Linked DNA regions of Caenorhabditis elegans. Each later gene encodes a partner of the first gene's protein in a complex. Each region holds a gene or a part of one and is shown on either strand. Other genes may lie near its edges. The genes, in order: eif-3.H, eif-3.G, eif-3.C and eif-3.E.

Region 1 (7,675 bases):
GCCGAAATATGATCGGCAAGGTGGCTGGAACCGCGGCAATCGCTGGAATATCTTTCCTCGCTGGAAAATATTCGAATGACGATCTGCCAATCTTCAGGAATGTTCAATCAGCCACCAATGTTCCAATGGTTTAATAAAAATCTTCTAGAATCCTGAAAAATGCCGCTTTTGCAGAATCAAATCCAAGTTTCGGAGCCAATGACCGTAAAACCAGCATCTCTAAATGCTGATGCAATGGGACCATCTCGTTCGGCAGAGATCATGAAGCACGGATATCCCGGATTCACAAATGTTCGAACTTATGAGGATTTCGTGCTTTCCTACGATTATAAGACAAGAACTGCACACTGGGTTAGTAGAAAATTATGAGAAAATATATTTCAAAAATCTATACCGGACGCCAAGTTTTAGCGCCAAAAATACGGTACCCAGCAGGGCTACTGCAAAAATAAATCTTCCACCAAAAAAAAATTTGTTTCATTTTTGCTGAATCAGTGTTGTAATTTATTTTTTGGTTTTTTGTCCCGAAAAAACCAAAAATTTTTTTTTTCCAAAAACAAAGGCAGCTTTGGTCTCGACATGCCTTTTGTTTTTGTATAAAACAAATGGGTGTGCGCCTTTAAAAAGTACTGTCATTTCAAACTATCATAATTTTTATTTTTAGTATTTTATTTTAAAAAATATTTATTTATTTAAAAAAACACATTAATTTTAACAATCGTGAAAAAAAACTATAAAAATCAATGAATATTCCACAACAACGAAACTTTGAACCTACCGTACTATTTAAAGGTGCACACCTTTCTACATTAAAAAATTGTCGTGTCGAGACCGGTTTTAATAAAAAATTGAATTTCCAGGTCTGCGAACATCTTACACCAGAACGATTAAAACACGCAGAAGGTGTGGATCGGAAGCTTTGTGAATTCAAGCCAGATATCACTTTCCCGCAGAAATTCCTTTCTCAAAATACGGATTATAAGGTTAGTTCTTCGTAATTATTACATAAAAAATATTTCTGAACCATCCAATGTTTCAGTGCAGTGGATTCGATCGTGGACATCTCGCCGCCGCTGGAAATCATCGGAAGAGTCAGTTGGCGGTCGATCAAACTTTTTATTTGAGCAATATGAGCCCACAAGTTGGACGAGGATTCAATCGCGATAAGTGGAATGATTTGGAAATGCACTGCAGGTTGGTAAAATAAATAAAGTTTTTTGCCGGGAAAAAAACGCGAAAAATGTGAAATAATTTTTTTTCTCGTCGACGAAGTTTTTCGCAAAAACACGTAACTCTAAAGAATTTTGTTTTTTGAAAAATTAATACAATTTGAAACTTTTGGAAAATTTTTTTGAGAAAAAAAAACGAAAAATCTACAGCCCAGTCTGAAACCAGCTGGTACCAAGATTTTTCTTTACAATACTAAAAATAATTTTCTACAATTTCCAGAAGAGTCGCAAAAAAGATGATCAACTCCTACATAATCACCGGTCCCCTCTACCTTCCAAAACTTGAAGGAGATGGAAAAAAGTATATCAAGTATCAAGTTATCGGTGATAATAACGTTGCAGTGCCAACTCATTTCTTCAAAGTTGCTCTTTTCGAAGTGACACCCGGCAAATTCGAGCTGGAATCCTATATTTTGCCAAACGCAGTCATCGAGGATACTGTAGAAATTTCCAAGTTCCATGTTCCATTGGATGCTGTGGAGAGAAGTGCGGGTCTTGAGATTTTCGCTCGTTTGGACCCTAAGAGCATTGTGAAAGAGAACGGAGCAAAGAAGGGAGGATTACTTTGGTGATTGATTGGATTGTGATTCCGGTGAATTTTAGGTTTAGGTTGTTTTGTTTTTGTTTCACAAATAAATTTTTTGTTAACTTTTTTGATTTACTGATTGAAAAAACTTGAAAACTCAATTAAAAAGAACAATACCAATAGAAATTTTAAAATCTTAACTTACTATTAGTCAACAACAAAAATTCATCCGAAATAGGGGAAGGTGGAAAAGGATACCAGAAAGGAATTTCATACGGCAAAAAAATTTGGATGAAAAACAATATCCCTATATTGAAAGTGAGACATTATTTTATGTCACTAGTTTTATGTAATATGAAATTCCTTTCACCGAGAGAAAAATATTTTAGAAAAGAAAAAGTAAATTAAAGGGAACAGGGAGGAAACAAAAACACGAGTATATTTGGGAATCTTAACGAGTCGATGAGACAGAGCTCAAAGTTCTGTCTTTTGTTCCGGCGACTTTCTCCTCAGCAACAGCTTCAGCGATGAACATTTTCGTGATATTTTCGCTGGTCACAGTCTTCGAGAAGTCAGCGAGAGCGTTGGTGTCAAAACTGGCGAGAAGCTCATCCAAAAGTCCATTTCTTGTTTGGAGTTGTGGAGCCTTGATTCTCTTGATGTCATCCATTGGAATTGTTGGATCACCACGGGCCACACGTGATTCGTTCTCCTGTTGCTGAAATTGGAAAAATATAAATTTTTAATGATAGAGATTTTTTTTTCGAAAATCGTGAATGGCACCTTTATTCCACCGAAAATGTACCCCTCACATCCGGTTTTATAGTTAGTGGAGCCTCGATATGTTGGAAAATGGTTTTCAAAAAACAAGACTTTAGGTTTGAAAGCCGTTACACTTCGGAATATAAATTTTAGCGATACAATCAGGATATTTTTAATTTCAAAATTCGAAATTCTTACTCTTTTCTGCGTCAGACTGAACACCATATTATCATGTCTTTGCTTGTCAATAGTGTACTTCGTCAACGACTGAATTGACTTGTTCAGCTCATCAACATTAGCCATCATAGCTCGGACCGACTTTTCAAGCGACTTCTTGGATCCCAAATCGAAGTGTCTCGTGGAGTACTTGTCAGAAGAGCATGATTTAGCGAGTGAAAGCTCAGACATGAGAACATTGTTGAGATATGAGGATTTGATGATGATTGGCAACTCCTCGAACATGTTCTGGTATGTCAAACCAGCGGCTTTCACCCTGAAAAGATATGTCTTTGCAAATATATTTTTAAACTCAAAAACCATACAATTCTGGTCTCCAGTCATTCTTTGAAGCGAGATCAAGAGCAGCGGTGGAAAGACGCCAGGCTCTTAGAGAAAGCTGTCCTTGGCGAGTCTTGATTGGATCTGAAAGCAATTAGAATTAATTATTTATCCTCATTAATCTGTCTAACCATAAATAAGAACAACATTTTCTGGGCCCATAGCCTGGTAATCGAACATAGATTCTACGAGATCGTGTGAGAAACCGGCTCCGAATTGATGAGACTGATAGAATCCAACGATTTCGTAATCGATATTCATTGTACGGAATTTGCGGAGCATGTCAAGCATCTCGTGTTGCTTTTGCTCTTCGTATTGTTGAGCGGCCTATAATAGAAAATATATTGGAATCACTAGCATGAGCTAATTTTACATTAGCATCGTCATCCATAACTGGCTCGTTGCGAACTGTTGGGAAGCAATTGGTGATTTCCAAGCGAGAATCTTCAAGGAAAACAAGACCGGTGAGAACTCCGGCACAAGCGTCTCCAGATACCTGTAAATTACATGTTAAGCTTGAAATTAAATTAAAATAATATACCTCACTAATTCCTGCATGAAGTTCACTGTCCACGTGCTTCACAATTTTCATAACCACAAGCGAATCCAAAAGGATATGCTTGACGCTCGGAGCGGTAATTGTCACTGCTGTCGACATTTTTGATAACCCTGAAAGATGAGCATTTAGTTTTTCAAATTTTCTAAAGAACAATAAACAATAACATGCATCTCACAAGAGGAAAAATCAATAATCTAAGCATCACGAATTTTTCGAAAGAAAATTAAAAATATAAATTTCAGAAAATTGGCGAGAAAAACCTCAAAATAATCAATAAAATCTTGAAAATAGGAAACACTCCACGAAATTAATTCCTTCCGTTGTTGTGTGCAACTGCGCGTCAATTGTAGTGCATGCACACAATTGCACACCGTACCCGCGCGTGATCTTTTGATTTGAATTCAAATTTTTGTCGTTCTTTTGTTTTTGGGATTTACTTTTTAAAATGCTTTTTGAAACTTTTTAAGAGAAATTGTATATTTTCAGATGCAATCGAGTGCATCCAACGACCCTAATAAACCTACAAATAATGAAATAATAAAGGTAAGCGCATTTATGAAAAAAAAATCAATAAAACACAATTCTTAAATAAACTAGCTTTATTGGAATCCATTTGAAGATTTAATATTATAACCAAATGCATATTAAAAAATAATTGTAAATTTGTTTCAGACACCATTGGTTCCACCAAGTCCACGTGGAGGATTAAAACGAATGGCGGGAATGAGCCAATTGAAATCGACTTTTTCAATTTCTTTGGAGGTAAAACCCTCAAGTTTCCAGCATTTTTGTTTAATAATATTCATAATAGTCTCAGAGAACAATCCCACCACCATCATCGTCCTCATCCTTCCTATCCCATTCAACATCGATGGTTTCTGTAGCAGCGAGTCTCAAAAGAGCCGGTGTACCTAGTCTAACTCGAACAAAGACTAGTGCATTACCCATAAAAATGGAGAAAAAGCCAATGGTTCCATTGCGGATAGAACAGGACCACCAGACACCGATCCGAAAACTGGCTCCGGAGAGTATTCCAAGCCTGGAAGATCAAGTAACACCGCCAATGCGTCGATCTAGTAGTGGATCAATGCTGTTGAGACAGACGCCTGAAAGGATTCGAAGGCAAGAAGAAGATGTGGAAACACCTGGTTCTCCAGTTAAAAGATACCGAAGATCCGGGTCAATGCCACGATTAGAGGCCCAGTCCCTTGATGTTCCAATACGAATGGAAATTGGAAATAGCTTAACTCCTGTGTTAAAGAGGAAGAGAACATCTTCATTAACGGTAATATATTCAACTGAATCATATCAGAGCTGGGCGGCAAATTTTTTTTCGAAAAATTCGGCGAATTTCCGAAAATTTGATTTTTCGGCAAATGCCGATTCGCCGGAAATTTCAATTCCGGCAATCTGAAATGTTTTCCCGTTTTTCTAGATATTTTCATAGAATTTCCTTACTTTTCAAAATAGAAGTAGGAACATATTTTTTTATATTACGGGAACACAAAATACTGAGAACGCGTATTACACAACATATTTGACCCGCAAAATATCTCGTAGCGAAAACTACAGTAATTCATCAAATTACTCCTGTAGCGCTTGTGTCGATTTACGGGCTTGATTTTGGAAATATCTATCGATGAATAAATAATTTTAATTCATTTCGAGAATCGAGCCCTTAAATCGACCTACAGTAGTCATTTAGATAATTACTGTAGTTTTCGCTACGAGATATTTTGCGCGTCAAATATGTTGTGAAATACGCATCATCAGAATTTTGTGTTCCCGTAATAGGAGGCGTACAATTTCGCGTCTTTAACTTGAAATTCTGAAGTTTCCAATAAAAAGTGCAACAGCACAGTTTGCCGAAATGCCGGAAATTTCAATTCCGGCGATTTGCCGATTTGCCGGAAAAAATCGTTTGCCGCCCAATCATATAAAACTAGTTTCTGAAAATAACAAAAAATATTATTTCAGTGTCTCTTTTCATCCGACATGCCACCAATTTTAACTCCACAACGTTTACGTCCACGTGGCATTTCTGAGACCCGTACCATCGATGATGACGTGTTCGTTCCAAAATCACCTACGAAAAAGCCAATAACTTCGCCAATCAAAAAACGAGTTCGTCAAGATTCGGAAAATCGTTCGACAAGTCCCCTCAAAAAACGATATATCTCGTCGTTTTCGATTCGGCTCGAAGAGGAAAAGGAAATTGAAAAAGGTTTTTATGAAAGCCTGAAAAAAAATAAACATAAATATGTTTTAAAAATCCTGAATAATAGAAAATAGCCTCAATATACCTATAGAATTTTTTAGATTTTTCAAGAAAAAAAAATGAAAAGAGCTGAAATTTTTGCGTTTTCCGGCTATTTTTATTGTTCTTTTTTTCTTTATGTTTTCTTAACACACAATTTGTCAAATTTTCACAATTTTTTCCGAAAGAAACTCGATAATCTGGAATAAATTTCCTAAAACTCTGAAAAAAATTCGATATTTTACAATTTATTGAATTTTTTATGCGAAACAGAATATGAAAATCTGGCAAACGATGGTTTTTATTTTTAGAAAAAATATTAGACATGCATGTTTAAAAAAAATTGCAGAAAAAATATTCCGTTTTTTTTTAAATAATTAAGAAAAAAACGTTTCCCTGTCACATCTTTTAAAATATTTAAAATAAAATCCATACTTTGCAACTTCACAGAAATAACCAAAAAGTACCAAAATAATGCGAAGTGACAGCTAAATATTAACTTATTCATGCGAGAAACAATTATTTTCGGAAATTTGTTTTAAAATTGCATCACTATATTGAAAATAAGGTTTTCTTTTTTTCAAAATTTTCACAAAAAAATTTTAAATTTAAATATACATTCTCTATAACTCTTAAAATTTCAGCAGTACCAACTCCCACAATGTCAACCCCGATGCGGAAGTTCAAATCAACGATATTTAATCCAAGGGCTGTCACTGAACGAATCGCTCAAACTTATGGAACTGGAAGTCGTCAATTGGTAGAGTTTACTACAAAAATTCAAAAAATTGCAAAAAAAAAAATTTCAGTTAAAATCCACGTCATCGACTGTTCTTCCAGCTCCTCCGGCGTTAGTGGCCCGGTCAACGTCTGGTGAAACTTATTACAGTGCAACTGAAGGAGGTTTGAAATTTTTTAAATATTAAAATGCTAAAAATCTGAAATCTCGTCTTGAAAAATAATTTAAATAAAAACGGAATCGGGGGAAAATTTCAACAAAAAAGTGATTTTTCAAGTGCCAAATAATTTTTTTTTCGGTTTTTCAACAAAAAAAAAAACGAAACATTTTCGATTTTCCGGAAAGTCGAAAAAAAATCTGAAATTTAACTATGAAATATTATTTATAATCTAATTTTGATTATATTGATGAGAAAAAAAATATTAAATTCTTCTAAAAATTAGTAAAATGGCCAAAATATTTGAAGCTAATTTTTGAAAAATCGAAAAAACGAAAATTTCAGATTTTTCGATTTTCAAAAATTATCATTTAATGATAAAATATAGGAAAATCTGAAAATCACATATATTTGATTTGAAACAACTGAAAAGGTTTAAAAAAAAATTGTCTGAAAGTTGAAAATTGCCGTTAAAAAAATCAGAAATTTTCTTTATTTCGGCAATTTTCAAGTAAAAAAATTCTATAAAAGTTATTTACAAATAAAGCAAATTTCTATATTTTTTCACAAAATTTTAAAAGAAAATATTGGAGGGCGGCAATAGCCATTTGGCAAGTTTTTCGAAAAACTCGGCAAATCAGCAATTTTCCGGAAATTTTGATTTTCGGCAATTGGTCGATTCGCTATTTGCCGAACATCATTTTGCCAGAAGTTTTCAGAGGAATTTTTCATAAGACGGAAACATTGCGACTTTTTGAATTTTTTCCCATTTTTTCTAGATATGTTTTAATAGAATTTGCCTACTTTTCAATATAAATGTAGGAAAATTCATAGGATGGGTTAAATTTTGCCGATTGGGATAAAATTTCTGAAATTTCCAAAAAAAGT
Region 2 (6,868 bases), on another chromosome or scaffold:
TCTCCCTTGACGGTTCATATCTCAGTTTTCTCAAGCAAGATTATTCAAAAACTGTTCAACTATGAAACTAAAGAAAATTATTTGGCATATCATACTTTTCGTAATATTACTGTTCAAAATGTTTTGCTAAAACCAACGTAAACCGATATGAGAGAAGTCAAAGTTGAGCAAAATGGTATAGGAAAAACACTTTTCGTTCGATTCAATGAAATATTGCTAGAATTTATCCTAATTCAAAAAATTTACTCAATTTATTCCAAACAAAATTTTAAAATTTTAAAACATTTGTATAGTCTTTTGAATACAATTTTTTATCGTGCGCTCCTACAAAAGCTTTCAAGATACATTTTGTTTACGTAGAGTTTAATGTTTCAATTATCTTATTTTACGAACAATTTTGTGAAGCTTGGTGACTGCAATCGTGGTTAGACCTACGTAGAACTTACCTTGACAGCGAGGTCTCATGATTTTGCGAATTTACCGTTGACATTTTCAAAATTAAAAATTCATGAATTTACAATTGCAATTCGACAAATATATATTTCAATTTCTTTCAAAGAAGACTTTTTTGAATTTCGTATATTCCAAGACTGGAATTTAGGTGTGTAATAACTTGAAATAATTTGTCACAAAAACTAAGTCAACTAAAATATTAAACAGATAGATCTACGACATTTTGTTGCAACCTATTATCAGAACTAGACGAACAATGTTCTAGTGACCGGCTTCAGATAACCAATGATCTGATGTCAACCAGATCACACCTTTCAAATCAGAATGATGTCATGATTTTATTTTTTGAAAAAAACACGAAAAAAAACAGTTGTAGTGATCGAAAGATTGCTACACATAGATGACGAGAAAACCGTGCAGTGTCACTTGACCTCTATAAGTGTAGCCTCCAATTACATTTTGTTCTCACACTGAATCAGTCATGACTTGATGGTCAAGACGATTCCGACACAAATATGTATGGTGGTTTGTGTTCGTATCATTGTGTGTGACGTCACAAATCCCGATTTCTGATCGTATCCTGATCCGAAACAAACGCAAACAAGATGGAACAAGTATTTTCACACACCCGTTCATAAAAAGTGTTTCTTTTAGGGGTCTTCCAATTGTGGTAATTCACGGGTTGGCTGGATACGCTGGATTATCAAAGAAAAGTTTATTGAACAAATACTATTCGTATGGGCAACCAAAGGGAACTGTATTCGCAACAACATATGCAAGAGGAAAGCTGATGGACTCATTGCAACACGGAATGCAATGCGATTATGTGTTGAAGGTAGGTGTAAAGAAATGATGGGATTATATAATAGACATGAGAAATCATTTTGATTTGGGAATTTAATTTAGACTCTGAAAACTACAAGAGGAACACTTGCAAAAGCTAAGATCAAGTGTAGTGTAACTATTGTCATCATCACCAACATCATCATCATTAAATCTAATCTTTACAATGAGAAAACCTCGCCATATCATGTCTCCGTTCTGACGCGGCGCCACTGGTGTAGTGAATGTGTAGTTTGTGATGGTCACAGTTAGACTGGCCTTGTGGGGGAATTTCTATAACTTCTGGGTTTGATCTCGTCTGTTAATATAGATAAATAGAGAACAAAGGGATGATCGGTGATCTTTCAAGACCCGATTGATAACGGCCGGAGTGACGTTGAAACGGAAAAAGGACGTGACCCGAAAAAAGAAGGGATTGTTTACAAACTACACAAAACACAGATTTATAATGACTGGTTGGGTAGACATCTTTCGGAAGGGATCCGGATTGAGAAGGATATTCTAAAAGAAAAGATGAAGGGGAATCTATAGGTGAAATAGGGATTACAATCAACGAAAGGAATATTGCAATCCAAACTGTAACTCTAAAATTTCAGGTTCGCACTCTCATTCTTGCTGTTCATGAATACACTCAGAAACCAGTAAACATCATTGCTTGCTCCATGGGATCTCCAATTACCAGAAAAGCTATTCTTGGAGGACACTGTGTTGATAGTGGAGTCAATTTGGGACGCCCAATTAATCATCTAATTCATAATTATGTTTCTGTTGGTGGAGCAAATCACGGAGCTATTATGTGCGCCAAGCAGCCATTTGTGAATGGAATCTGTAGTTTAACACATGGTTTGGATTGCCGTTCCAAGTTCTTACAAGAGATCAACTCACAGTAAGTTTCGCAAAAAAAGTATCCCAGCACAGGGAATTGAACTCATGCAGGTGTGCGTGAAAGGCAAAACTTTTAGCCACTAAGCCAGCAAGGCTTTTCATTTTTTGGGTATACTAGGGCATACTTAAATTTAATTACGTTGTTTTCTGTACACATAAACATTAATTTCATGATTTTACAAGTCAACATTTTTTTCAGGCCGTTCCAATACGGAAAGAACATGTTCGCCATTTATTCCGTAGCTGACGAAGTTATTGGACTCAGAAATACGTGTGGAGAGATGTCCTCACCATTAGAAGGAGCCACTTCAATCGTCAAAACTAGACTAATGCATGGAGCAGTTATTGGTGGAACTACAGAAGATCAATGGAGGGCTCTTCAAACCTCATAAAAACAAAATCTCACCAAAAATACTAATTGACATCAAATTTCACTTGTGATCTCTTTAATTTCCTTGTTTATATTGATTCGAACTCGTTGCTTTCATTCAAAACTTTGTGTGTATATTGTTCAAAAGTTTAATAAATCAGTACAATCGTTGATTAAATTGGTATTTTGAACGAAAATGATCAGAATGTTAAATTCGTCCAAGTGATCAAGTCCATCAGGCGACTTGTAAGAATTCTCATAAGAATAGAGATAGGAAACTGCTATATTTCGCAGATCAATCTAGACACATGATACAATGTTGTGATTTTCTCCGAAAACGAAGATATTTATTATTTTCTTCAGAAATCTCTTCCGATGAGACTGAATAATCTGTGAAAACCGGAGCGGCGGCGCCATTTGGCTTTTGGGCAATACGGTGCGCAATTCTGCAAACACATGATCCCACGCGCAAATGCACAGATTTCCCAATGCGTCGTTGTTTCCCAAATTTTCGATTTTCGGGATATTTCTACATTTTTAAAAGATTTCCAGCCGTGTTTTTGTTGTAGAATATTTTTTTTACATATTTATAGTTTGTTTTTATAGATATTTGCTAAAAACTATGAATCTAGTTGAATATTCGCTTATTCTGGAAAAAAAAATCAAATACTTTAAAATCTACATGTTTTGAAGAGCTGTTTCTTTTTAATTCTGAAGTTTGTTAAACCATTTATTTGAAATTTTTTCTTATTTTATATTGCTAAAAACATAATCAATAGTTTTTCAGGTAGTAAAGTTACAGCTATGACTGGCATTAACGCGTGAGTTTTCACCCTCGAATAATTATTTACGTAAAGAAAGTTTCAGAATGGCTCCCGCTCCAGAAGTTGTAAGCTGGGCTGAGGCCGTTGAGCAAGACAGTAAGTTTTTCATTTCTCGTCTTCAAGAATATTTACGTGAACTTTCACGGTTTTCGCATTTGGAGTGCAACCGCCTAACAAAACGAGTCATTTCTGTATGAACTGATGAACGCTTTTGCAGACGCCCCACACATCCAGGAAGGAGCTGATGGAACACGTACCGAAACAGCTTTCACTGAGGTTGATGGAGTAAGATGGAAGGTTTGTTATCCGATGGCCAAAAAATTCGCCTTACAGAATTCTCGAGTTATGCTCTAGAATTCTTTCAATTCCAAATTTCAGGTTGTGACACAGTTCAAAGTTATCAACAAACGTGTACCAAAAGTCGTCGCTGATCGCAAAAAATGGGTGAAATTCGGAAGTTGTAAGGGAGAGCCAGCAGGACCCCAAGTTGCCACAACTTACGTGGCTGAAGAAGTCGATATGCAATTCACAAGAAATCGCGCAGGAGAGCAGATTCTTGACGTTCAAGAAGACAAACAGACTGCTAAAACTACAAGCCGTGAGCATTGCCGTCATTGCAAAGGAAACGACCATTGGAGTACTCATTGTCCTTACAAGGTCATGTACCAATTGGACGAGGAAGCTGATGCTGACAAGGATACTGAAAAGGATAGAATGGCAATGGGAATGCGTCCTGATGGAAGACAAATCGATAGAAATCGGTAAGCATTCAAAATACTGTAATCTAAGTTGCCCAAAAAATCTTGATGATTGAATAATTTATGAACTATTTTTAAAACATACTTTCAGATCCGATGAGAATACATGCCGTGTCACCAATCTTCCGCAAGAGATGAACGAAGACGAACTTCGTGATTTGTTCGGAAAGATTGGAAGAGTCATCCGAATCTTCATTGCCCGTGACAAAGTCACTGGTCTCCCGAAAGGATTCGCCTTCGTTACATTTGAATCAAGAGATGACGCCGCCCGTGCAATTGCAGAACTCAATGATATCCGAATGTACCATATGGTTCTCAAAGTCGAATGGACACGTCCGAGCAACTAATCCGTTTTCTGATTTATTTATGTTATGCGTACTTGGATGTTTTCCCGCTGTTTGGTTCTTCATAATTTCGTAGCTAGTGTCTGTCTAAACTGAAAATTACTGTAGACCAATTCGATGTTTGTTGTTCTTTCCTATTGAAATCATAATTTTTACTTTCTATGGTTATCAGAGTTGGCAAGTGAAGTTTATTTTCACGAAGGCAGTTCTAGCTATGAAAATTGTTGGTATTTCCTTTTCTTTCTTCAATGATAAATCTATCTCTTCCTGGTTATTTTTTCGTTCTATTTTTCCAATCGAGTTGGGTTTCTGTCCAATGTAAAATATCATAGTTTGAATAAAAATCTGATGGCTAAAAATTTTCAAACGCAATAGAACATTTTATAACTCAAAAATTCCAGATGGGCTTCTTGAAGATTCTCCGTAAGCAACGTGCTCGGGAACGCGAGATGAGAATATTAATTCTTGGATTAGACAACGCTGGAAAGACTACTTTAATGAAAAAATTCCTCGACGAGCCGACTGATACAATTGAACCAACATTAGGATTTGATATCAAAACCGTGCATTTCAAAGATTTTCAACTAAACTTATGGGATGTTGGCGGACAGAAAAGTCTAAGATCTTATTGGAAGAATTATTTCGAATCCACAGATGCTTTAATTTGGGTGGTAGATTCGTCAGATAGAGGTAGAAACAAATATTTAGGATACATTCAAATTTATAAAAACTTTTTTCAGAGCGTCTTCTACAATGCTCCGAAGAACTCAAAAAATTGCTCGGAGAAGAACGATTAGCCGGTGCTTCTCTTCTAGTTCTTGCCAACAAAAGTGATCTGCCAGGGGCCATTGATGTGAATTCAATAGCACAGGTAATTCAGATGTCTTCAGTATATACTTCCGAAAAGAAATGCTTTCTTGTAAGCCTTAACATGTAGATATTTATATTAGATTCATTATTCACATGTTACTCTCGTAACATACATTTTGAAAATGAAGAAAATCTTTAAAGAGGCACGGAAACATAGGAACCTTGAAACTACTCAACCTATTAAGAATTTTCTAGGTACTCGATCTCCATTCCATCAAATCCCATCACTGGAAGATCTTTAGTTGCTGTGCACTTTCTGGTGATCGACTGGTCCAAGCAATGACATGGTTATGCGATGATGTTGGAAGTCGATTATTCATACTTGATTAAAATTGTTATCAATCAAACTGCTTTGATCTCATTTCACACTGCTTGTAAATATATAAAAATTATAGATTTTAATTTATTTTTCATTGAAAAACAAAATAATAAGGGCTTCAATAAATTATATAAGAAAATTGCACACCGAGATTTCGGTTGACATGGTTGGAGATTTAACAAGCTGATTGCATCTTGTCGGATGGCACCATCATACGGGATACGATCATATAAGTGATGAAAATAGCCACGAAAACGGTAAGACCAAGGAAGACAGTGACAACGGAGATATGGAAAGAGCTGATACACAATTCTTGTCGGAATGAATCTTCTCCGATTTCTCTCGAAGCTACGAGAGCTTGAGCTTGTGTGAGAGAAGATGGGAGCTGAAAACAATGAATGAGCAAATGAACACCATTTTGACAACTTACATTTCCTTCCAAAACTTCCAAAGTTGTGAGCTCAGCACGGACATCAAGAATATTCTCCATTACTGGAGCGGATCTCTTCTTCAAAACTCTGAAGAACTGAGCAGTTTGGTTAGCTTGCTTAACTGCTCCAAATCCTTGTGGCTCAGAGCACGTTGGGCGAGCACACTCCTCATTTGGTTCCTTAACAGTAATGGAAATCTGGCATTGATAGAAAAGTTGAGAACGATCAGCGTATTTGTAGACGTGAGCCTCTTGTCCAGCCATCAAATCAGTTGGATATTCCAAATTGTTGAGCAAGAACTTATCAAGAGCACAACCGTTCTCATCCAAAATTTGCACGGTATCACCATTTCCATCATCAACAGTGCAAGAGTGAACGACAGCGCAGAAAGTATCAACGGTTTCAGAATCACAGGTCCATTTGTGATAGACTTGTTGTCCAATAGTTGCGAATTGAACTGGTTCTCCAGTTGGTCCTCCGTTAAGAATCTCGTATTTACAGATTGGCATTGGAACAACCTGGGTTTGGAAAGCGGTGGTAAGATCAGAGACTTCAATTTGGGTAGAGACTGTCTTGTCGGCTTCCATGTAGAAGCATTGAACACGGTAGGCACTGGAAATTCAATTTGCATTTTTTTAACGAGAAGCTTCTAGTTGATATCAAGCTTTATAATTTCGGTATCCTAAACCTTCAAGAAGCATTCCTTAAAAATTACAGAAGTTTCATAGTCTTACCGATCAACCTTGGTGACAAATTGGGGATGGAAAGAGA
Region 3 (8,737 bases), 5.5 Mb from region 1:
CTTAACATAATTTACGATGGTCTGAAACCTCAACCAGTTCAACTTCCAATTTCATATTATGTAAGTCTCAACACAAATTACAGATTTCAAATCATATTTTTTCAGGCTCAACTCTGGTATAATCTGTTGGATATTCTTCGAAGATTCACATTTCTACCCATTATTTCACCATATATTCATCAAGTTGTTCAAATGTTTTGTCCTCGAGAGAATGGTCCACAAGATTTTCGAGAATTGATTTGCAATTTGATTTCGTTAAATTGGCAAAAAGATCCTCACATGAAACACTGCGCAAATCAGGTGTTTCAAATTTTCAACTGTATCATAATGGGAGTGAAAAACGAGAAATTGAGAACAGAATTCGCTCAACATTTGAAATTCGAAAAACTCGTTGGCACTCTCTCCGAGTACTTTAATCCTCAAGTACACCCGGGAATGATAAATCCAGCAATTTTCATCATTTTTCGATTTATTATTAGCAAGGATACTCGATTGAAAGATTACTTCATATGGAACAATAATCCACATGATCAACCTCCTCCGCCAACAGGATTAATTATAAAATTGAATGCTGTAATGATCGGATCGTATCGATTGATTGCAGGCCAAAATCCTGAAACATTACCTCAAAATCCAGAATTGTAAGTTTAAAAATGAAAAATTCCTCCATCACTAACAAGTTATATTAATTTTCCAGAGCTCATCTTATCCAAGTTATAATCCGAACATTTGATCTTCTGGGTCTTCTCCTTCATGATTCCGATGCAATTGATGGATTCGTACGGTCTGATGGAGTTGGAGCAATTACTACTGTAGTACAGTATCCAAACAATGATTTGATAAGAGCTGGATGTAAGCTCTTACTTCAGGTCTCTGATGCAAAAGCCTTGGCGAAGACTCCATTGGAGAATATATTACCATTCGTAAGTTTTACGTTTAGAAAATCACTGGACTATTAGAAAATTATTTATGTGTTCTTTTACTTTAAAAAATTATACTAGATGCCCCAAACCTATCTAATTCCATAGTGATACTTCACTTTTGTAAGAAGTTTCATTATTAAATTCGGTCGTTTCAGGCTAGTTTTAGTCTATTCAAATTAAAAAAAAACTTCTCTCCCTTCAAATAAACTGTTTAAAACCGGAAATTTTCAGTTACTGAGACTCATCGAAATTCATCCGGATGATGAAGTTATCTATAGTGGAACAGGATTTCTGAGTAACGTAGTGGCTCATAAACAACACGTAAAAGATATTGCTATACGATCCAATGCAATTTTCCTACTTCACACGATAATCTCAAAGTATCCACGACTAGATGAACTTACCGATGCTCCGAAAAGAAATCGAGTTTGTGAAATTATTTGCAATTGTCTGCGTACATTGAACAATTTCCTGATGATGTGGATTCCAACGCCCAATGGAGAAACGAAAACGGCTGGACCGAATGAAAAGCAGCAGGTCTGCAAATTCATCGAAATTGTACGTTTTGGAATTTGAAAAACGATATAAAAATGAATTAAATTATTTCAGGATATTCTGAAAAAACTGATGAGTTGTTTATCATGTGAAGGAATGGATACACCTGGTTTATTGGAACTTCGAAGTACAATTCTCCGATCTTTTATACTGTTACTCCGAACACCATTTGTTCCAAAAGACGGTGTTCTGAATGTTATTGATGAAAATCGGAAGGAAAATTTAATAGGACACATTTGTGCCGCCTATTCATGGGTTTTTCGTCAACCGAACAATACAAGAACTCAATCCACAAAGCAGCAACTTGTTGAACGTACCATAAGTTTATTGCTTGTGCTCATGGAGCAATGTGGAGCTGAAAAAGAGGTGGCACAGTACTCGTATTCAATTGATTGCCCATTAAATCTGCTGAACGGAAATCAAGTGAAACCAACGTTTATTCACAATGTGCTTGTTGTATGTGACAAGATTTTGGAGCACTGCCCGACGCGTGCGGATATTTGGACGATTGACAGGCCGATGTTGGAAGGACTGACGAATCATAGAAATTCAGATATAGGTATGTGTCTCGAAAATGTGTTCATAAATTAAATTACAATGCATTTTTTCAGCTAAAGCCGCGAATTCTCTGCTGAGTCGCTTCCCTGAAAACGACCTTCTTGCTGGTATTTTTTCAAATCGAGAATATTTCTGATTTAATGGATAAATCTGTCAACTCCATCTTTCATCCCAAAAATCCCCGTTCAAAGCCATTAATTCGTCTAGTTGGAAGCTGTTTTAGCGTGTACATAGTCGTATTATTGATTAAAATATGTTCTCTCTTCTTTTCTTCATTTTCTACCGGTCCCAAATTTCCTCATTCTTGACGATTTCATATGAATTCGAGTTTAGAACAAACAAAACGTTCCGATTTTCCTAATTTATAGCACATTTCTTCTCATTTTGCCCTCGGTTTATCTCTTTCTTTTTGTTGTTTCTTTGTTTACGTCTGTAGCATAATATTTTTGAATACAAAACATTTTCGCGATTATCTTTGCATTTTAACTATCAAATTCCTGTCTTATATACGTCTTTCTTCGATGTTCTTACGTTGAATAGAAAATAAAATTATAAAACTTTTTAAATGTTGGATTGATTTACTGAATACTCGGTTCATATATAAGTTATTTAGAGACTATTCTCGTTCTGTAAAATTAACCTGAAATTGTGGAATTGTGATTAAATAATAAATTATTATTTAAATCTCCGCGCAAATGCCCACTGGCGCAAGTGGCGAGTGCTGACGCATCTCCCGTGCACGCGAAACGCGCCAGTAAGGTCTTGCAACGATTTTCTTATGTTCCACTTCCACTTAAATTTATTTCAGCTAAATATTGACCCATTAGCTGTTTTTTGAATTGTTTTCAAAGGGAAAATCGTTTTATTCATTTTAAATTTTAAATAATATTGGAATTTCTGTCTAATTGTGTATCTACTGCTTGTTTGCTTCTTGTTTTGGGATTTCATAATGTCAATTTTGTTTCAGCAATGTCTCGCTTCTTCCATGCTAAGGAGGACTCTGATTCCGACACTTCGTCCAGCGAGGATGAGGTAGAGGATCAAAAAGTGAACAAAAGCGCGAAATTTCGGTAATTATAATCTCCAAAGTAATTCCAAAAGATTGATTAATCTTTCAGCGATGATCTCGATTTCATGGCCGGTCCTGAAGAAGATGAGAAGCGTGTTGTTCGTGCCCAAAAGGACAAAAAATTCGATGAGCTGAAAGGAATTATCAAGCAAAATCGAGATGCAAAGAGCAACAAAGATCTGAACAGACTTCTAACAGGTTTTGATTCTCTGGCCAAAGCTTATGATAAGTCCAAGACGGTCTTTCAACGTCAGAATGTCGCAAATCCAAGATTTTACATAAGGTGAGATATATTTTTAATTTACAGTCACATCATAAAATAAAATGCTAATGAAAACTTAGTAGTTGATATAAAATATTTCAGGTCTCTTGTGGAAATCGAAGACTACGTAAATAAATTATGGGATGATAAAGATGCTAAATCTGCTCTTTCGAAGAACAACGCAAAAGCTCTTCCACCTCTTCGTCAAAAACTGAAAAAATACATCAAGGATCAACAACTGCAAGATCTTGTTACCGATTATCGCGTTAATCCTGACGAGGATGGATATGAAACTCCAGAAGATGAAGACGACGATGATTTTGGAGAGGTTTCTGAATCGAAGGCTGAAAAGTCACCTGGAAAACCATCTGAGAAAGCTGCAGTGAGCGATAGTGACAGTGACAGCGACGATGACGACTCCTCTAACTGGTCTTCTGAACCAGAATCCAATTCTTCTGATGACGAAGACAGTGTGACTAAGATGGAGCAACTTCGTAGGTATTTCTTGAAAAAAGAATTCCGCGTGGAGAGCAAAGATGACAAGAAAGAAAAGAAGAAGAGAGTTATCAGAGTCAAAGAAGCTGTCGAGGAAGACGATGATGCGGATTGGACTCCAGTTAATCGTGAGAAGTCTGTTGTTCACTTTGATCCCAAGGAAGAAGTTACTCATGACGTTATGATTAAGAAACTCAATGAGGTTATGTCGGCTCGTGGAAAACGAACGACAGATCGTAATCAACATGTTGCTAATCTTCGAAAACTTTTGGAGGTATCGGAAGAGAAAGAACTTGGTCTAGGAATCAACGTTAAAATCAGTTTCTGCATAATCTCGGCTCTTTTCGAATTGAACGCTAAAATTAGTGATCACATGGAGTACGAAACATTCATGACCACTCTGCAAACCGTCAACAGCTTGCTCGATCTTCTCATCGGAACTGATCGTGTAAAGTTATCTGTGACATATGCTGAAGAAGATGAAAATCTGAAGGTAATACTTGCATTCCTAAAATTAATAAAAATCCTAATATTTGCAGGATGACACTCAAGAGTATCGCATTCAAGGAAGTATTCTGATTGCTGTGCAAAGATTGGACGGAGAGTTGGCTAAAATTCTTCAAAACGCCGATTGTCATTCCAATGATTATATCGAGAAGTTGAAGGCCGAGAAGGATATGTGCTCACTCATTGAAAAGGCCGAGAAGTACGTTGAACTTCGTAACGATTCTGGCATTTTCGATAAACACGAAGTTTGCAAAGTGTACATGATGCGCATCGAGCATGCCTACTACAAATATCAAGATCAAAATGAGGAGGATGCTGGAAAGTTGATGGATTACTTGTGTAATAAGATCTATACACTTGATGATGAGAAACGATTGAGACAACGTGCTATGCTCTGCCATGTTTACTATCTGGCTGTTCATGACAAGTGGCACCGCGCCAGAGATCTTCTTCTTATGAGTCACATGCAAGCTATCGTTGATCATTCTGATGTCGACACTCAAATCCTCTACAACAGAACTATCTGCCAACTCGGTCTCTGCGCTTTCCGACACGGTTTCATTCGCGAAGCTCATCAAGGACTATCTGAAATTCAAAATACCCAACGTGCCAAGGAGTTGCTTGCTCAAGCTGTTGGAACTCGTCAGCACGAAAAGACTGCTGAACAAGAGAAGATTGATCGTTCCCGTCAAGTTCCATATCATATGCACATCAATGTTGAACTTATGGAGTGTGTCTATCTGATCTGTTCGATGCTTCTCGAAATTCCACACATGGCTAGTTGCGAATTCGAAATGCGTCGTCGTATGCTCAGCAGAAGTTTCCATTACCAATTGAAGCAAAGCGAGAAAGCTTCTCTCACTGGACCACCAGAGAATACCCGTGAACATGTTGTCGCCGCATCGAAAGCAATGTTGAATGGAGATTGGAAAAAGTGTCAAGACTATATCGTCAATGACAAGATGAACCAGAAGGTCTGGAATCTTTTCCATAACGCTGAGACTGTTAAGGGAATGGTTGTGAGACGTATTCAAGAGGAATCTCTCAGAACTTATTTGCTCACATACTCTACAGTTTATGCCACTGTTTCGCTCAAGAAGCTTGCGGATTTGTTCGAACTTTCAAAGAAAGATGTTCATAGCATCATCAGGTATTTGTAATATTTTACTAGACAGTACATAATTTTTTTTTATTTTTTCAGTAAAATGATCATCCAAGAGGAACTTTCGGCTACACTTGACGAGCCCACCGACTGTCTCATCATGCACCGTGTTGAACCTTCCAGACTTCAAATGCTTGCTCTCAACTTGTCTGACAAACTTCAAACTCTTGCCGAAAACAATGAACAAATTCTGGAGCCGCGCACTGGACGTGGTGGTTATCAAGGTCCAGGATCGTGGTTTCCAGGAAGGAACGAGCGGCAAGGAGATAAGCAGAAAGGATCTGGTGGATACCAAGGAGAACGACGTGGAGGACAAGGACAAGACGGAAAGCGAGGAAATTGGGGATCTCAAGGTGGTCAGCAACGTCGTCATCCTCAAAAGCCACGAGCCTTCTAAATATCCATTTTTCAATCGTCTCTCCCATTCGTGGAACCCGCTAATACGCCTTTCATGGCGCCTGCAATTAGTCTCAAAAACTTTTTGCAGGCGCCAATACTTGTTGAATCTTTTATTTAATTGATCAGTTTTTTTGGTAATCCCCCACCCTTTCCCACTTTTCCTTGTTCAGTGTGAGATCTGAACTTTAAAGCTCTCATTTTTCGTTTCCGGTTAGTAGTGTTTAAGTTATACTCTTTCCATACTGTTTTGTTTTTGCTAATTATTTATATTGGGTTGCCGGATATTATTTTAATGAAATATTTAATTTGATTCGTCCAATTTTAAGTAATTTTTTATGAGCCCCGGTTCTGTCCAATCAGTTATTTTCTCAGATCCAACAATAAAAGTAACAAAAAATTAACATAGAATTCATATTTCAGGTTACTGGAAACATAAATTTCGCCTCAAAATGGGTAAAAGGAAGGCATTCATTGATAAGAAAGCCAGTCAAAGTTTTCGATTGGTTCCGGATAATAGGGAAAGAAGTGAACGATTCAAGCCAACTCAAGAACATTTGGAGGAACAGCAAAAGTATGGAGTCTACTACGACGATGATTATGATTATTTGCAGCACATGCGAGCTGTTAATGAGGTTTGTCATCTTAAAATCAATTTGATCAAATACCGAAACTTAAAAAAAAGTGTTTGTTTTTCGATTTTTCAATGAAATCAAAAGATTTTAGGATATGTCAAAAAATAGCTTAAAATTTTGGTCTTTGTACTTCTTTTAAGTAAAAAATTTCTATGTTTTTTTAATCAGCATTTTTTACATTATTTCATAAAATTGAATTTTATGGATGATTAAAAAAAAGTTTTCCATATTACGGAAAATCAAAAAAAAAACAATTTTTCGATCACCTCTTTTAGAACATAATCGAAAAACAATCTTCTTGTATTGGTAAAATAATCATTTAAATTTTCAGCCGATGAAGCTGGAAAATGTTCATGAAGAAGTCGAGAAAACGACCATCAAAACGAGTGGTTCATCAGCATTCCCACCAGCTCCACCACTTTTCGGACTTGTCGGTGCTCTTAAGAAACCGGAATTTTTTGACGAAGATGTTGCAAATGCGTTGGAAGAGGTGACAGATGATCGTAACACCGGAGAACTTGAAGATAATTTTATCACACTTGCTGGTGGTCTTCTTGATGAAAGAACTACAGTTTATAGAAGTACAAGACGAGGTGAAGATTCGGAAGAAGAAGAGGATGACGATGAAGACGATGAGATGTATGATGATTATAATGATGACGAGTTATTTGGAGAAGAGGCTGTTGGAGAGATTAGAGTTGAAAGAGCTGATCAAAGAGTTATTGATAATGCTTTTGAAGAACTCATGGATCGTGAATACAACACCGATCAGGTATTATTTCAGAATTATTGGCTTGAAAAATATGATAATTAAACTTATTTAAAAATCGAACAGTTTTCGAAAAATGCCATAAATTTTCGCCATTTTTCCTCTCTTTAGAATGAAAGGATATGTTTTTAATTTTTTCTCTTTACCATAAGAAAGACTTGATTTAAAAAAAAATGATTTTTTGACTAGATTTTTTTTAAAAAATTGTTCTTAGATTTTTTGGTTTTCCGGAAAATCAAAAAAAAACTTTTAAAAAAATCAAATTTTTCGCTTATCGGCTTTTCATAGAAAACGAAAAAATTTAGATTTCCAGTAAAATCGAAAATTGAAAATTGAAAATTTTTTAATTTTTAAAAATTAAAAAATCGAAAATTATCGTTTTTTAGTTTTTTTTTCGGAAAATTCTTTAAGTTTTGGCAAGTTTTCCTCTTTTTAGAATAAAATAATCTTCAACATAAACAAGACTTGATTTAATGAAACATACATTTTTTAGTTTTCTCAAAAAATTTTTCAATCTTTCGGTTTCCTCTAAATAAACTCATTTTTATGAAAAATAAACTTCAAGAAAATTATGTGTTACCAGAAAACATTCTACTTTTATTTATTATTTTTGAGATTTAATCTGACCCAGTTTTAAAAAATGAATTAATTTTCAGATCGGAGAGCTTGATGGTGACGACTATGATGTTGGAGGAGCACTTGAACCGAACGCTGGACGACTTCACAAACTTATAAATGACAAAGGACCTTCAAATGCAGAGTATGATGAAGAGGTAGTACTTTTCAAAAGAATTATTTTCATTCATCATTTAATTTTACAGCTCGCCAAGCATTATGTACGTGAACGAATGCGTCTCATTGAAGAGGGAGTCATCAAAGACAAAGAAGAATACGAGATTGTGGAAGTGGATGAGGGTACAAATAAGAAAATGAAATGGGATTGTGAATCATTTGCTACTCAATACACTAATATCTACAATCATCCGACACTCATCAAGGAGCCACGTGGTTTATCCAGAAAGGCATTGAAACGATTCGATAAAGCTGTTGAAGAGATGGATATTGCTGAAGAAGATGAAGATGATGATGAGGATATGGAGGATGATGATGATAAGGAAAGCGTTTTTTCAACTGTTTCTACTTTCCGACCAAAAAATGAAACTCCGGAACAGAGAAGTCTGCGGAAAAAAGCTGTAAAAGAGGCCAGAAAGCTGAGAAGAGTTGAGAAAAAGGCTAACAAGACTATGTTCGCCGAGGAGAAACGAAAGGTAATTTTTCATATTTCATATTGAAAAAGTATGAAACAACTAAAAGAAAATATTTTCACACTCACAACCATGGGAGTCACCAAAAAACCTTTTGAGCCAAAAAAAAACAAAAAAATATCGAATTTTTCCCCTCTCCCT
Region 4 (7,273 bases), 6.2 Mb from region 1:
AAAAAATTACTTTTGCAAAGTAAGGGGATATAAATAATACATAAGTAACCTATTTTAATTTAACAAAACATCTGTTTATTGTATGTACAACCAAGAATTAACTCACCTCCAGCTGCAATAATACCTATTTTACAAGTATTTTTAGAATTTTGGACTTTTCAGTCATCCTCTAATGAAATCAATTTATAAGTAAATCGAGGTTATCTAATTCCAACCGTTTTCATGAAAATTAATATAATTACTACAGTGTCAACTAAATTTTTCAATTTGGTGAGCAGTTCGGCCATCTTCATTGTCATCTAGAAAATGTTGAAGTATGCTTTTACTAGACTTACGCCTAAGCCTAAGTCTAAGCCTAATCCTAAATAGAATTCTAAGCTGAAGCCTAAGCCTAATAGTAAGCCTAAACACAAGTCTCAGCACAGCTCCCTTGCGTCACTTCCACTGTCTGAAATGTATCTGAAATGTGTTTCCGATTAATATCGAATGGAAATGTTCAATTGAAGAGGTTGTGTACTTTTCTTGATACACTGCAAAGGCATGAAATCGCTTTATGACAGACAAACTACAATCTTGTTTTAAAAGAATAAATCTACTAAAATGCTTTATTCACTGTCACAATAAGTTCACATGCCGTTCATCCTTGCTGTCTCTTGACTTCTTTCGGTTTTCCTGAGACAGGAACAATCGGAGTTGCAGGTGACACAATTCGAGTTGCCAATACTTTTGGTGGCTCATTGGGTTTCATGTAGTACGGTTGAGTACGGAGCCATTCAGATTCACAAATTGCTTTGTAGGTCGGACGGTTCGGTGCATGTGGCTGGAGAATCTCAAGGACCAGAGCCTTCGAAAAGACCGATGATGTGCAACTTTTCGGGAATCTGAAATGAGAAATTTAACTTGAGTTGTCTTTTAAAAAAAAACTACTTAATTTTATGTGCCAACTGTCTCTCGATCATTTTCCTTGGGTCACGATCATCAAATGGCATTGATCCAGCCAGCATTATGTAGAGAATGACCCCAGTACTCCATACGTCAACTGCATTTCCAGAATATTCTCTGCCACGAAAAATTTCTGGAGCCACATATGCTCGCGATCCACAGAATGTTCCAGATTTTTCACCCGGTTTCAGAATTCTCGAGAATCCGAAGTCGCCGAGCTTCACATTTCCATGTTTATCCATAAAGATATTTTCGCATTTGAGATCCCGATGCACAATGTTATAGGATTGCAGATGCTGAATTTATAAATTTAAGAAAAACAGTTTTCTGATATAAAACTTACAGTAAGTGCTGCAATAAGTTGACGAAATGTGAACTTTGCATCTTCCTCTTTCATTGCCACGATATCCTTCATTTTACGGAGCAAATCTCCTCCAGCACAGTACTCATTGACGAAGATGATGTGATCTTGAAATGAAATCATCTCGTACAAACGACAAATATTATCGTGTTTCAAGAGCTTGACAATCTCTTTTTCACGTGGCAAAAACTTTTTGATGTAGTCCTCTTTTTCACGAGTTGGCGTAATGTTGATGATTTTCGCTGCAACTTCGAGCTTTTTCTCTCCGAAAGTTGCGCGTGCCACACGGGAATAGGAGCCACTACCTGTAAATTAATGAATTATAAATTGGAATTAATTTCCAAATGATTACCGAGAACTTTCTCAAATTTGAGCTTCCAGACCTTCTCGAGTGTTGGAGCAAAAGCTTTCGTTTTTGGACTCAGTTCATCAGGTTCTTCTTGGTTCTCAGAAACATCTGAAAATTAGTTATTTTCTCTGAAAATCTGCATAAAATTCTTACCTGTATTGTTTTCCGTTGCCATTTCAACAATTTGCCAGAGAAATATGAATTCAAAATACTGCGAAATTGGTCGATTTTGGTTCGATGAATATTGATTAATAGATTTTTCTTCTCGATTCATCAGTTCATCAAGACATTTTCACGTTTCACGAAAGGTCACTTTTTTTTCGATTTTTCCTTGATTTCTCCGTAAATTTTCTTTGTTGAAAATGTTTAATTAACATTTTATCGGGAAATAAAAATGTTCGCTACTAACTATTTGCTTTCTGGCGCCTGTTACACACCTCATAACATGCCTAATTCCTATAATCTGGATTCGATAATATTATAGGTTTCTTTAAAATGAAGTCTTTGAAAAAGCATGGATTAGAATGAAAATATAAATAATATGATAATTTGAGAGTAATTGAATAACATATACATTTATAAAACAGAGGGTAAAATGGAGTAGTGCTAGTGGGGGACATTTTTAAAAATTCGAAAAGACCCAAATATCAAAATATAACATTCCAACTTGAAAAAAAAACTGTTTGCACCCAAAAAGTTAAGATTTGGCAGCTGGAAATCTACCAAAACAGTTTTGAACAAATTTTAGCGGTTATTTGAAAATTGAGATCTAAAAATTGTTTGCCTTTTTTATTTTGATATCTTGGTCAATTTCAGTGTATTCTGACATAACAGCAACTGGCTTAAATTGAATTAATAGTTATCGTTTTTCCATACAACAAAATCAAGGCATTCTTCGATAAAATTGACGGTTGCAATTTGTCCATCGTCGCTCTCAATATCCCATCCAAGTGTACAATCCAATTCGTCTATTTTGTATCTGAATGTTATTATTTTTCAAATAAAATAATTTAGCTTTTTTCCTTTAATCTCTACAGTAGATAGGTAGCAAGAATTTCTTCAATTAGTATGGCACCCCATCGTTCACGGTTGAGAGCTTATATCTCGGTTGTTTTCAAAAATAATTAACTGATGAAATATTTGGTAGTTCTTTTTATATCGTTTTGTAGTTAATAGTTTTATGATATCTTTGAAATGAACCGAGATATAACCTTTCAAAGTAAAGTAGTCTGTTGAACTAATAGAGGAAATACGGTATGTCAAGATCTTTAGAAACAATATGTGTAACCAAGACCCACAAGTCAAACTATATAGTCAGGTTTTGTTTCAACTGGGTGGCACACTACCCTCAAGAATCAGGGCTCTTCATGTAGCCCACTCGCCAGCTCTACGACAAATAATTTATATTCTCACTTGAACACTTTTGGTCTTCGCTTTCCATTCCACGGTCTGTGAATAATTCGATGCATTACTCCTTCATAGTTTTGAGGTCCATATGAATTGAATCGTATTCTTCGTAGATTCGGCATTCCTCCTGACATCAAATACCCGAATTTAATGTTGATCAAACCGAAATGGGGCAACCTGACACCACATGAATTTACGGTCTCGTCTGTTCCCAAAAATTAATAATAAAGCATTCTAAATTTTACTGTTCGCTTTTCTGTGCATTTCAAAATTTGAAATTTCATAAAACTTGTGTCTCTGACACATCGGTAAAATTTGGCACACTATTATTGAGATCGTTGCGGGACCCACTCGAAAAATTAATATGTGATTTTAAACTGACATTTCACAATTACAATATTTAAGCATTGCTTTAAAGCCACACAATGTTTTTCGGGGTGGGTCTCGATACGGGCTCGGGTCTTAATATCTTGTAACTCTTCCTAATCCCAGGAACATTATGATTCGTTCGTAATTTCTCAATTTGAATATTTTAAATTAAAAAACTTTTAACTGAAATTTTAGAACCAAAAAACTCCGAAATATTTTTCAAATGTCGCAAATTGCAGTTTTCGGTTATTCTTCTCGTAGTTCTACTTCTCGCAGTTCTCATTTCGCTGGTGGCTCGTGTTGGCAGGCAGTAGCAACGACACTCCGATATTCCATAGCGCGCGTTGTTTATCATTTCCTCCTTTCCCGGCGAATTTCTCCTAATTTCTCGATTTTCTTTCTGCAATTTCATTGTTTTTGTTTTATTTATGTTTTCCGTTAAGAAAATTGATTGGAGTTTTATTAGAACATATTACTATACTAATACGCTTATTTTACAGGTAAAAATGTCGACATTCGACCTGACTCAGCGCATGGCGCCTTTTCTCGATCTTCATTTGATCATTCCGCTCTTGGAGTTCATCGAACCACGAGGAGTAAGATTTAAACAATAAATTGTTGATTCTGAAATAGCTGAATTTATTTATATCAATGATAATTGCAGATTTACGATGAGAAATCCCTGACCGAAATGCACCGCCAGCTTTTGACCAAGACCAATATGATTGATAGTGTTATAGAGACCTACAATGGAAAACCTATTCCGGCTGCAATTGAGGCTAAGAAGAAGCAAATTATCAAGGAGAGAGATGAGCTGAAAAGCAAGGTGGACTCCGTTGTTGCCATTTTGGAAATACCGGAAGTCAAGGAAATGATGGATAACAACAGAGAAAGAGATGGAAATGTCCGTATTTTGGAGCATCTCACTCAAAACCACAATGTACGTTTTTGCTTTGCAGTTTCGAAAATAATCTTAATTCTTGCAGTTCACAGTAGACATGGTCGATACCCTCTTCAAGTACAGCAAGTTCATGTACGAATGCGGAAATTACACCGTCGCATCCGTGTGCCTTTACTACTACCGCAACCTTGTCAATCAAGCGGATCCAAACTATTTGAACGCTCTTTACGGAAAGTTGGCCAGTGAAATTCTGCTCCAAGAATGGGAACATGCTCGTGACGATTTGCTGAAACTTCGTGCTTACATCGATGCTAATCCATTCGACACGGAATGGGAACTTGTTACGCAACGTGCGTGGCTTATGCACTGGGCACTTTTCGTCTACTACAATTATCCAAAAGGGCGTGATGAGATTATCGAAATGTTCTTGAACCAGCAACCTTATTTGAATGCAATCCAAGTTTTGGCGCCACATTTGCTCCGCTATCTGGCTGTTGCCGTTGTTACCAGCAAAAGCCGCCAGAAGAACAGCTTGAAAGATTTGGTGAAGGTCATTGACATCGTGAGTTTAACTATTTTCTATATGAAAATATGATTAATTATTTGTTTTTCTACAGGAACGCCATAGTTACAAGGATCCCGTCACTGATTTCCTCACCTGTCTCTACATCAAATATGATTTCGACGAGGCTCAAGAGATGCTTCAAAAGTGCGAAGAGGTTCTCTCCAATGATTTCTTCCTGACTGCTGTCCTTGGAGATTTCCGCGAGTCTGCACGCCTTCTCATTTTCGAGATGTTCTGCCGCATTCATCAGTGCATTACCATAGAAATGCTAGCACGACGATTGAATATGAGCCAAGAGGAAGCTGAACGCTGGATTGTTGACTTGATCAGAACGTATCGTATCGAAGGAGCTAAAATTGACAGCAAGTTGGGACAAGTGGTGATGGGTGTCAAATCCGTCAGCATCCACGAGCAAGTCATGGAAAACACGAAGAGATTGACCCTCCGCGCTCAACAAATCGCCCTTCAATTGGAAAAAGGTCGTCAAGACAAAGTCAAGGCGACTTAGGCTTTACAAGTTCTTCCGGTTTTGAATGTTTTTTCCTTTTTCTTCATCTGATGCTGTTCTGAAAATTGAGATGTGGCAAACACGGAGATTAAGACTGTCATCTCTCAGTTTTCAGTATTATTTTTCTTTCTTATTTGTTCAGCTCCTCGGTTTTTTACGAGGACTACTCGAATTCTGTCTTTTCTAAACTTTCCTTATATCCCTGTTGTTTCTTTTTGTTGTCTCTGACCCTTCTTTCGTTAGTGCAGGGGCTGGAGGTTCGGTTCTAATTGGTTAAAATAATATATTTTCTCTTTTATCATGGTTTGATTATTGTTAGAATCTAGGTTTATGAAACCTTTCAATATATATTTATTGCCGTTGCCGAGAAATTGTTTGAAATTATTTTTTGTGAGGAAAAACACTTCCATCTGTATATTTTGTCATTTCTGTTGAATTTGCCTTACTTTTTCGCTAATTACAGAAATATTTAAGCCATAGGTTCGATTTTGCCGTTTAAAAATTAAATCTCCAAAAATACACATTTTCGCCAATTCACAGTTTTTATGAAATTAAATAATTTATCTCACTCTTTTTCAGTATGTCAATGTTACGGCGTCCATTAACACAATTAGAATTGTGTGAGGACGATATCCAATGGCTGACAGATCAACTGAACAAGAGGGTACTTCCAGCTGTGATCGTGCCAAAATGCGAAATGATGGATATTGACGAAATGGAGCCGATGGATCAGAGTGAGCCTCCACGTGGCATAACTAGGAGAAATCTCAGATCGGCGGATAGAAGTGAGATGATGATTTATTTAATTTTTCCTAACCTAGCTTTTTCAGAGAACAGAGACGTTCCAGGACCAAGTACGGGAGAGTGCACGCGTACTTCCATTGCACCGGTAATTTTTTTTTTTAAATTAAATGTTTTAAACATTACCTTTTAGAATCGATGTGAAATGTCATTCACTGAAGTGCAGGTGACATAATTTTGTGTTGTTGGTGTTTCGAACACTTATTTCTATTCACTTTTTCATATTTATCTTATGGCTATTCTCCGTATTTCCAGACTTTAACATCTGCTCGAACTCCTGTCGCTGCTCCAACTCTAACACTTTCGACGCCAGTCAACCCTGTCTCATCAGCTGAAATGTTGAGAGTTATGCCACCTCGTGTAGGTCGACGTCCACGAGCTTCTCGTTCTGGTGACAATGATTCGCCACTCCTCTTCAACGCTTATGATACACCACAGCAAGGAATCAATGACGAATCTCCAACACCCTCTGACTCTCCCGAATCTCCTAATGCTCATCTCTATGGTGGTCAATGAGTTGTTGGAGGAATATTGTCAATATTTTATTTTCAGCTACTCCCGGCAATCCTACTTCAACTTCTGGAGGACCTTCTTCAAATACACGATCTCACAGACACTAACAACTACTGGTCAGGGTTGTGTTTAGGCAAACGTGCAAAACCCGCTTATTTCAATATAATAATTCACTTTTTGATCTAAAATTGATTTAGAAACGTAGAAAAACTTTTAGAGGTCTTCTCAAGCTTTTCATTAAAAGTGAACCGTTTTATACATTTCTATATTTATCAATTTTTAATTTTTTAAAAACTTGGATTGTTATACTGAAATTCGCAGTTTTACACGCCCTGCTACTGATCTCCCTTTCAATTCCAACTTCCTCAGCGTGCTTTCTTCTTTTTTCGAACTAAATAAATTTGTACAATATTTGAAACAAATATTTCTGAAATGCTACATTTACTGTCATAGTCTGTGATTTTTCTATCTTTCTTTGTTTTTTGAAATTCCAATATTTCATTAATTCTTCACCAGCCCTGTTTCAGAAATTGCAAGATGCACGGGTTAAAACGAAG

The links.
Region 2: eif-3.H (region 1) and eif-3.G share a complex: the UniProt entries of both Caenorhabditis elegans proteins name them as parts of the eukaryotic translation initiation factor 3 (eIF-3) complex.
Region 3: eif-3.H (region 1) and eif-3.C share a complex: the UniProt entries of both Caenorhabditis elegans proteins name them as parts of the eukaryotic translation initiation factor 3 (eIF-3) complex.
Region 4: eif-3.H (region 1) and eif-3.E share a complex: the UniProt entries of both Caenorhabditis elegans proteins name them as parts of the eukaryotic translation initiation factor 3 (eIF-3) complex.

The regions. Positions count from the first base shown.
Region 1 is NC_003279.8:4,440,788-4,448,462, reverse strand, and holds eif-3.H (Eukaryotic translation initiation factor 3 subunit H), read right to left. Parts: upstream 3,745-7,675; 5' UTR 3,734-3,744; coding exon 3,617-3,733; intron 3,572-3,616; coding exon 3,449-3,571; intron 3,403-3,448; coding exon 3,207-3,402; intron 3,160-3,206; coding exon 3,060-3,159; intron 3,011-3,059; coding exon 2,716-3,010; intron 2,474-2,715; coding exon 2,207-2,473; 3' UTR 1,850-2,206; downstream 1-1,849. Other genes in the region: cps-6 (Endonuclease G, mitochondrial), read left to right, coding at 9-128, 175-351, 861-983, 1,040-1,194, 1,450-1,801; C41D11.3 (Cysteine/serine-rich nuclear protein N-terminal domain-containing protein), read left to right, coding at 4,121-4,177, 4,307-4,396, 4,446-4,919, 5,612-5,858, 6,536-6,651, 6,701-6,794. UniProt on the Caenorhabditis elegans protein: Component of the eukaryotic translation initiation factor 3 (eIF-3) complex, which is involved in protein synthesis of a specialized repertoire of mRNAs and, together with other initiation factors, stimulates binding of mRNA and methionyl-tRNAi to the 40S ribosome.
Region 2 is NC_003280.10:8,439,429-8,446,296, forward strand, and holds eif-3.G (Eukaryotic translation initiation factor 3 subunit G), read left to right. Parts: upstream 1-3,338; 5' UTR 3,339-3,355; coding exon 3,356-3,372; intron 3,373-3,418; coding exon 3,419-3,471; intron 3,472-3,592; coding exon 3,593-3,672; intron 3,673-3,753; coding exon 3,754-4,136; intron 4,137-4,224; coding exon 4,225-4,480; 3' UTR 4,481-4,747; downstream 4,748-6,868. Other genes in the region: lips-10 (LIPaSe related), read left to right, coding at 1,108-1,288, 1,893-2,182, 2,381-2,573; evl-20 (ADP-ribosylation factor-like protein 2), read left to right, coding at 4,879-5,167, 5,218-5,348, 5,543-5,677; cut-3 (Cuticlin-3), read right to left, coding at 5,842-6,051, 6,097-6,709, 6,832-6,868. UniProt on the Caenorhabditis elegans protein: RNA-binding component of the eukaryotic translation initiation factor 3 (eIF-3) complex, which is involved in protein synthesis of a specialized repertoire of mRNAs and, together with other initiation factors, stimulates binding of mRNA and methionyl-tRNAi to the 40S ribosome.
Region 3 is NC_003279.8:9,973,929-9,982,665, reverse strand, and holds eif-3.C (Eukaryotic translation initiation factor 3 subunit C), read left to right. Parts: upstream 1-3,003; 5' UTR 3,004-3,005; coding exon 3,006-3,106; intron 3,107-3,154; coding exon 3,155-3,388; intron 3,389-3,469; coding exon 3,470-4,355; intron 4,356-4,401; coding exon 4,402-5,519; intron 5,520-5,570; coding exon 5,571-5,928; 3' UTR 5,929-6,240; downstream 6,241-8,737. Other genes in the region: Beta-catenin homolog sys-1, read left to right, coding at 1-60, 106-641, 698-923, 1,155-1,481, 1,533-2,037, 2,090-2,172; T23D8.3 (Protein LTV1 homolog), read left to right, coding at 6,380-6,562, 6,894-7,334, 7,988-8,104, 8,153-8,599. UniProt on the Caenorhabditis elegans protein: Component of the eukaryotic translation initiation factor 3 (eIF-3) complex, which is involved in protein synthesis of a specialized repertoire of mRNAs and, together with other initiation factors, stimulates binding of mRNA and methionyl-tRNAi to the 40S ribosome.
Region 4 is NC_003279.8:10,638,937-10,646,209, reverse strand, and holds eif-3.E (Eukaryotic translation initiation factor 3 subunit E), read left to right. Parts: upstream 1-3,928; 5' UTR 3,929-3,934; coding exon 3,935-4,024; intron 4,025-4,092; coding exon 4,093-4,368; intron 4,369-4,414; coding exon 4,415-4,891; intron 4,892-4,946; coding exon 4,947-5,402; 3' UTR 5,403-5,687; downstream 5,688-7,273. Other genes in the region: tag-344 (Protein kinase domain-containing protein), read right to left, coding at 638-881, 928-1,238, 1,286-1,608, 1,656-1,760, 1,806-1,926; B0511.17 (DUF4283 domain-containing protein), read right to left, coding at 2,505-2,631, 3,066-3,181; cdc-26 (Anaphase-promoting complex subunit CDC26), read left to right, coding at 5,983-6,187, 6,233-6,291, 6,459-6,711, 6,756-6,823; mrps-30 (Mitochondrial Ribosomal Protein, Small), read left to right, coding at 7,254-7,273. UniProt on the Caenorhabditis elegans protein: Component of the eukaryotic translation initiation factor 3 (eIF-3) complex, which is involved in protein synthesis of a specialized repertoire of mRNAs and, together with other initiation factors, stimulates binding of mRNA and methionyl-tRNAi to the 40S ribosome.